2 linked regions of the Xenopus tropicalis genome follow. The protein of the gene in region 1 purifies or fractionates together with the protein of each later gene. This does not show direct contact. Links are inferred from orthologs where the notes say so. Each region holds a gene or a part of one and is shown in the gene's direction. Other genes may lie near its edges.

Evidence for each region.
Region 2: the proteins of dld (region 1) and ogdh purify together in Homo sapiens (affinity purification with mass spectrometry; 3 studies listed by BioGRID and IntAct, counting the BioPlex papers as one, with this or other methods). This does not show direct contact. The link is inferred for Xenopus tropicalis from reciprocal best matches to the Homo sapiens genes DLD and OGDH.

What each region holds. Positions count from the first base shown.
Region 1 is NC_030679.2:76,049,327-76,053,145, reverse strand, and holds part of dld (dihydrolipoyl dehydrogenase, mitochondrial), read left to right. Parts: intron 1-233; coding exon 234-377; intron 378-1,348; coding exon 1,349-1,450; intron 1,451-3,819. UniProt on the Homo sapiens protein: Lipoamide dehydrogenase is a component of the glycine cleavage system as well as an E3 component of three alpha-ketoacid dehydrogenase complexes (pyruvate-, alpha-ketoglutarate-, and branched-chain amino acid-dehydrogenase complex).
Region 2 is NC_030679.2:126,371,310-126,375,128, reverse strand, and holds part of ogdh (2-oxoglutarate dehydrogenase, mitochondrial), read left to right. Parts: intron 1-2,494; coding exon 2,495-2,683; intron 2,684-3,180; coding exon 3,181-3,274; intron 3,275-3,575; coding exon of another isoform or gene 3,576-3,678; intron 3,679-3,819. UniProt on the Homo sapiens protein: 2-oxoglutarate dehydrogenase (E1o) component of the 2-oxoglutarate dehydrogenase complex (OGDHC). Participates in the first step, rate limiting for the overall conversion of 2-oxoglutarate to succinyl-CoA and CO(2) catalyzed by the whole OGDHC.

The sequences.
Region 1 (3,819 bases):
TACCCAGATCAAAAAATTAAATTGCTCTGTTACTGACTGGAAACTTAGCACACAATTTATTATTACATTTATTTATAAATTGCCAACATATTCTGCACACTGTATGCAGTAATTGTCAAAACAAATTAATACACCAGAGAGTGAGGGCGCTGCTAGCAAGGGCTACAATAAGTGATATCTGCAAACTTTAATTACTATGCATTTTCTTTTTCAACACATCTTTTTTAACTTAGGTAGTACATGTTCAAGGATTTGGAAGGATTACAGGCAAAAATCAAGTAACAGCAACAAAGGCAGATGGAAGCACCCAAGTCATCAACACAAAGAACATTCTTATTGCAACAGGCTCAGAGGTTGCTCCCTTCTCAGGAATTCCGGTATCTTACATTGTACTCTTTGATTATAATTTCTTGACTCAAGAAACTAGACCACTTTGCTTTATTCTCATGTGTCTATTCTCTCCTCTTTTGAATTTGTGGTTTGTTAACCCTGATTCTTAACCAAGAGCTAAGCATGTACAAGCAAGTACAAGAGGCAGTGAGGCATACTTAGCTTGAGTATAAGCTACAGTATTAGCCTTGTTTAGGTTTTTACAGGCATGGCAGTCATTTGGTCACAAGGGGGCTCCTAGTGCTGTAGCTGTCAAAGCAGTAGGCTACATATACTGACTGTCAGCTTCTTCTATACTGGGTTGGTTGCTTTTTATTACCCTTGTAGCTTCTCCTTGGAAAAGCTATAAGACAAAGAGAAGTTTGTAAAAAGTACAATATTTTTTTTCCAGAACTACAATTAAAGGAGAATGCAAGTCAAAATTTAAAAAGCATACTGCCCAATAGTCCTCCTATTGTTTAGTAAAAATGCCACACTTTTGGCTCACCTAATCAAATATTTACTCAGTCACACTTACTTCACATTTTCTAGAACAGGCAGCCATCTCTAAAAAGGTATTCTCCCTTCCTTTCCCTCCTTGCTTCATACTGCACGTGTTTCATTTCCTCCCCCCCCCCTCCCCTCTGTCAGATCCGCTTCTGATTGGCTGGTGGGCATGTGTAGCTCAGAACCGGAGACAGGATCAAGTTACACACATGCTCAGAGAATAGGAAGTCTGCCGCTGGCAGCCTACAGGAAGGGAAGAGAGATTTCAGTGATGTCACTGTAGTCTTCACACTGCTGTAGGCTGCCAGCACCATATCTCAGAGAAGCAAGCAGGGATCTGGGAATTTAGATATGCAGTAAGTACTTAAAAATAATGTCTTTAGACTTACTTTTAATTTATATTAACCTTTCATTGTCCTTTAAGAGTGTGCTGTTTGTCTATTGAGAGATGATTGTTCTAATTTTGTTCTAGATTGACGAAGAAACAATTGTATCTTCTACCGGAGCATTGTCTCTTAAGCAAGTGCCTGAGAAAATGGTGGTAATTGGTGCTGGTGTCATCGGTGTTGAATTGGTAAGTTCATAAGTTTTATTTTGCTTTACTTTCATATGTCCTTTTGGTATATACTGCCTAGTTTCTAAAAATTAATGTTAACAGAATGTTTTTACCTTTGTTTTTTTCTTAGTTTGATTTTTTAAGGTAAACTTTATTTAAGTTTTAGCAATTCAACAAGTCAATAGAGCAGTACAGCAAGATGCAAGCACAGCTACATAAGGGAGATAAGGTGTGTAAGCAGTGATGGTGGATTGACCCTCAGGAAGGCCTAATTCAGTCCCCTTTCTCATCAAAAGAAAGGGCACTAGTAAAAGCTACTTAGTTTTTACATTACCGTCTCCTTTAATGGGTGTCCTTAACAAACTTATTACACCAAACAATAAGAGAAACAAACTTGTTCTCTAATATTCTATACTAGGAAAAACATTGCCGTGCTCTGTAGTCATGTCTTCTTTTATATTTGCATGAAAACAATTAGTAAATAAAGTGTTGCTATTGATTAAACTTATGTCAGAAGTTTGAGGGACACAAAAATAACTATGGAACATTGCTAGAGCTGCAGCAGGGAAGCTACTAAGACCAAGCTAAAATGGCAGCTGCAATCTTAAACAGAGAGAGCTTCTAGGGCTGTTTATTCATGTATGGTAAAGCTTTCTGTAGAATAATTATAGAGTTCTAGGTGGCACTGTTGTGGCTAATGTTTGGGCAATAAAATGCCAAAATGCCTTTCCTTCTCCTTTAAAGACAATGTGGAGAAAGGCTAGGTCATTAGCCAATAAAGTCATACTATTAGCATAACATTGTGCTATAATGTGGCAGGGCAAAATCATGTGGTAAAGAAGCTGGCGAACTGCAGCAGGCATGTATGATCAGATCATCTACCAATAAGTAAGAGTTTGATTGAGGTCATTTGCATCATTTTGTGATGGTTGAGTCTGTCTGGTTAAAATTAGAAAATTGTATTTAATGGTAAAAATCCTCAGTATACAGTGGTGTGAAAAACTATTTGCCCCCTTCCTGATTTCTTATTCTTTTGCATGTTTGTCACACAAAATGTTTCTGATCATCAAACACATTTAACTATTAGTCAAAGATAACACAAGTAAACACAAAATGCCGTTTTTAAATGAGGGTTTTTATTATTTAAGGAGAAAAAAAATCCAAACCTACATGGCCCTGTGTGAAAAAGTAATTGCCCCCTGAACCTAATAACTGGTTGGGCCACCCTTAGCAGCAATAACTGCAATCAAGCGTTTGCGATAACTTGCAACGAGTCCTTTACAGCGCTCTGGAGGAATTTTGGCCCACTCATCTTTGCAGAATTGTTGTAATTCAGCTTTATTTGAGGGTTTTCTAGCATGAACCGCCTTTTTAAGGTCATGCCACAACATCTCAATAGGATTCAGGTCAGGACTTTGACTAGGCCACTCCAAAGTCTTCATTTTGTTTTTCTTCAGCCATTCAGAGGTGGATTTGCTGGTGTGTTTTGGGTCATTGTCCTGCTGCAGCACCCAAGATCGCTTCAGCTTGAGTTGACGAACAGATGGCAGACATTCTCCTTCAGGATTTTTTGGCAGACAGTAGAATTCATGGTTCCATCTATCACAGCAAGCCTTCCAGGTCCTGAAGCAGCAAAACAACCCCAGACCATCACACTACCACCACCATATTTTACTGTTGGTATGATGTTCTTTTTCTGAAATGCTGTGTTACTTTTACGCCAGATGTAACGGGACACGCACCTTCCAAAAAGTTCAACTTTTGTCTCGTCGGTCCACAAGGTATTTTCCCAAAAGTCTTGGCAATCATTGAGATGTTTTTTAGCAAAATTGAGACGAGCCATAATGTTCTTTTTGATTAAAAGTGGTTTGCGCCTTGGGAATCTGCCATGCAGGCCGTTTTTGCCCAGTCTCTTTCTTATGGTGGAGTCGTGAACACTGACCTTAATTGAGGCAAGTGAGGCCAGCAGTTCTTTAGATGGTGTCCTGGGGTCTTTTGTGGCCTCTCGGATGAGTTGTCTCTGCGCTCTTGGGGTAATTTTGGTCGGCCGGCCACTCCTGGGAAGGTTCACCACTGTTCCATGTTTTTGCCATTTGTGGATAATGGCTCTCACTGTGGTTTGCTGGAGTCCCAAAGCTTTAGAAATGGCTTTATAACCTTTACCAGACTGATAGATCTCAATTACTTTTGTTCTCATTTGTTCCTGAATTTCTTTGGATCTTGGCATGATGTGTAGCTTTTGAGGTGCTTTTGGTCTACTTCTCTGTGTCAGGTAGCTCCTATTTAAGTGATTTCTTGATTGAAACAGGTGTGGCAGTAATCAGGCCTGGGGGTGACTACAGAAATTGATATTGAAATTGAAAATTGAAATTGATAAACCACAGTTA
Region 2 (3,819 bases), about 50 Mb from region 1:
GAATTCAGTGCCCAATTTTGTTGGTTCTTGGTGGTGAAGTTTTCTTGTAATATAGATTTATAGCTCCCTAAGCTTTTGTTGCCTTATGATCTAAGGGAGAGGGGTATTTCCTCATGATAGTATCCAAGTACTGGGGTAAGAATTACCTGCCTAATGTTACTCTGTGCCAGTGCCCAGCTTGCAGCCGGCTAGCAAGGTGCATCTGTTCAAAGAAGGGCTAAAACACTTGATGGGCCTGTATATTCACCCATATACATTGCTGGAACAGTCCAGGCATGAAAATCTTTAAATACCTGCTCACCGGGATGTGCCATTTGCATTGGAATAGTTACACTGACTTGCCCTTTGGGCTGAATGTAAGCCTAAAAATACTCTCCTACTGTGCTTCACTATAGTAAAGTGCGTGTTCCCTGGGTTGGGCCGTTGTGCGCTACTATAGGAGCCATTAGCAGAAGGTGTGGCAGGCTCTTGGAATAAATATACCCAACTGGTTTCATTACATAATTGCTGGCTACAAGGAGAAGAACTTGATCAACACCATTTCTTAAACTGGCCCCAAGGATCAGCCTTATTAACAATGTGTGGGGTGGGCTAGGTGGCTTTTTATGATGGTGGTTCTTACAGTGAATTGTAGGTTGGTCATTGTGGATCTGTACATAGTCCTGCGGTCTGTCCATCTGTGCTCACCCAGTGCAGCTCCAGATAATAGCACCTGCTCATTATTTCAGCTGACAGGAAATAATGCACTGTAATAGGAAGGGGTGTGGGGGTGAAATACACACCCCCTGTCATATCATTGGCTAATATAGCGTAGCATGCATGCCCTTGTGTCAGCACAGTGCATAATATGAGCCAGGGGGGCTACGGAACTGGCAAATATTAGTGATGAGTTTTCCTGTTTCGCTTTGCCAAAAAGTATGTGAAACTGCAAAATTACGCAAAACGCATGGAAGTTAATGGGCTTCTCTTTGCAGTTACCACAACTTTGTTTTCATGGCTATTAGAGTCTATGGGTGTTTTAAGGCAAAACGTTGTGAAATATTTCTCTTACCACTAGCACATTGTTAGCCTTTTCATAAAAATATTTTTCTATTAATACACAAGCCATGGATATGCTGTAAATGATATCCTTATAAATAGCCATTAGTGATGTCATCCATTATAATCAGTAATGTCATTTCTGTCACTGAGGACTTCTAATACCCTCAGAGTTTCATGACCTGTAGAAAAGCACTCTGCCTTCATGCCCATGCTTTTATATGGTCATGGAACTTTTTTTGTTTAATAGGGGGTACATTATTCACACTATATATAAATATATTTCTTCAAGAGAGGGTGTAATACACCCGCGTGTATGTTGAGGGGTATAGTTTCCCTTTGCATAAGACGGCAGTGGTGCTGCTCAGGGTTAGAAGTCACTCAGTCCTGGCTGGTTTGTACTGGAATTAATCCTACGTCATCTCTACCTGGCTGGGCTCCAGTGTGAGGCTGGAATGCCGTCTCACTCACAGGCCATTACGGCTATTAACTCCTCTCTGCTGGGATAGGACTGTACCACTGCACATTGTGTTTTCCCTCCACCGTTCTCTTTGGGTGATTTAACCTTTTAAGGTGCAGAGTTCTCTCTCAAAATAATATTTTTGAGGTATTTCTGCTTAATATTTCACATTAGGTTTCTTATCTTGCATTTGTCTGCACTCTAGGGATACCATAACATGATCTGTGTTATAACCAAGCCCCCTGGGTCAGTGTGGCAACCTAGCCTGGTAGAGGAAGAGTTAACAATGGCAGTCATGTGTGATGGAAAGACTGCAAAGGAGCGCCTAGGAATTGACATGGGAACTGATCCCAAACTCCGGCAGAGGACAGCCTGTCCCTTGTGCCTTAAAGTCACTTTATTATTGACAGAGCCGGTGGCACAATGAGTGGGAGCAGTGGCTAATACATACAAACCAGCCTGCTCCGCCTGAGGAAAGCCTATACCCCCATTAAATTTACAATATGCCCCGCTCTGCTGGCTCTCCTGGCCATCAGGACTGTAATTACTGTCAAACAAGATACCCTGACCCTCTCACATTCCCCCACTCACCCTTCTCATGACTCCCCGGCAGGCCTAAAATAGCAGCCATCCCCTGACCTTGTGGTTGGCCTATAAACTAGCACTCTAGCTAGCAGCCTTTTCTTTACTTTCTCTCTCCTCATGGGGCTTCCATGCCAGCATTGTGTACCCCAGTGCCATGGGGACCTAACGGAGAATGTTAGGAGTGCAATAGGTGCTGCCATAGTGCAAATATAGGCCTTACAGCTGTGTACATAACATATAGCGTGGTTGCCTTCTCTCCAGGGACTCTGTGTTCCAGTGCCAAAGGGAAATGCCTTGCTGACTGTATGAGAGTGCCAAATCCTTTATATCCATACCAAGCCCGATTGTGTGATGAAATAGCAAGAGAATTTACTGTGGTAATGCATACGTTTGCTTCTTTTCCCTTTTTAGTCATGGGACATCTTTTTCCGCAACGCAAATGCTGGCGCATCCCCTGGTGCAGCTTACCAGAGCCCGCCTCCTCTCGGCAGCAGCTTGTCCACCCTTACCCAGGCCCAGTCGTTGGTGCAGGCCCAACCTAATATAGACAAGCTTGTGGAGGATCATCTCGCTGTGCAGTCGCTCATCCGTGCTTATCAGGTACAGAGGATCCTATTGTGCCCAGCTTTATACACTTGCACTGAGTATCTCAGTCTTTGATTGATAGTTGCATTGCAGAAAAGAGGAAAAAATGTGCATTTTACTTTTGTTTTGTTCCCCCAAGCGTCTGTAAAGTTGCTGCACATTTCGCTTGCTGGAATCCGCCATTGCCTCTCTTGCCGAGTGGTCACAACTTTAAAGTCTCCCGTTTGTTCTAATCCCATTGCAGATTACAAGAAGTTAGCAGGGGGCATGGCCTAGCACCTCAGGGGTGTGGTTAGTTCAATGTAGCTTTTTCTTATATGACTTTCTTATAACTGTCGTGAAATACATCTCCCAGCATCCTCAGCCTGCAGCCGATGGCTAGGAGCTTGTAACAAAGAAGGCAACCAGTGGGTTTTCCAGGGGATTTTCATGGCACCACAGTTTGGGGGGGGGGGGGGGGGGCTGGAGGAAGTGTGGCCCATCTTTTTAACATGTTTTGTCATTGCTTCCAGGTGAGGGGTCATCACATTGCAAAGCTTGACCCGCTTGGAATTAGTTCTGTTAATTTTGATGGGGCTCCGGTGATAGTCGGATCTCCAAATATGGGTGAGAATCATTTTGTCAGACTTGTTGTAACTTTTTCTCTTTTTCCTGTGCTTTTTCCTCTTCTTGTTATCTTTACCTTTCTGTGTCCTCTTCACCCAACTGTCCCTTTCTGTGCTTTGCCACCTTTCCATCCTTTCTGCCTCTTCTCCTCCCCTGCCCCCCCCAACCTGCCTTCCCCTGTATCTGACTGCAACTCCCACTCCATGCTTATCTGCACCTGCTCCCAATCATCTTCCTACTGTTCCTACTGTCTATTTCAACCCCTCCCATGTCCTGTCCTTGGAACCTTGAATTCATATAGATCCGTGGGCACCATGTTGCTCAGCTTGACCCTCTTGGCATTCTGGATGCAGATCTGGACTCCTGTGTGCCAGCAGATATTGTCACTTCCTCAGACAAACTCGGTAAAGGCTAATGTGCTAGTGTCACTGCTTCTGCACCTCGCCATCACCACCCCTGTCTGTCTGACTACCCCCCCCCCCCTCCGCTCGCTAGAATACCAGCCACGAGATCACAACTAACAGCTGCGGGGTCTGTGTGCTGAT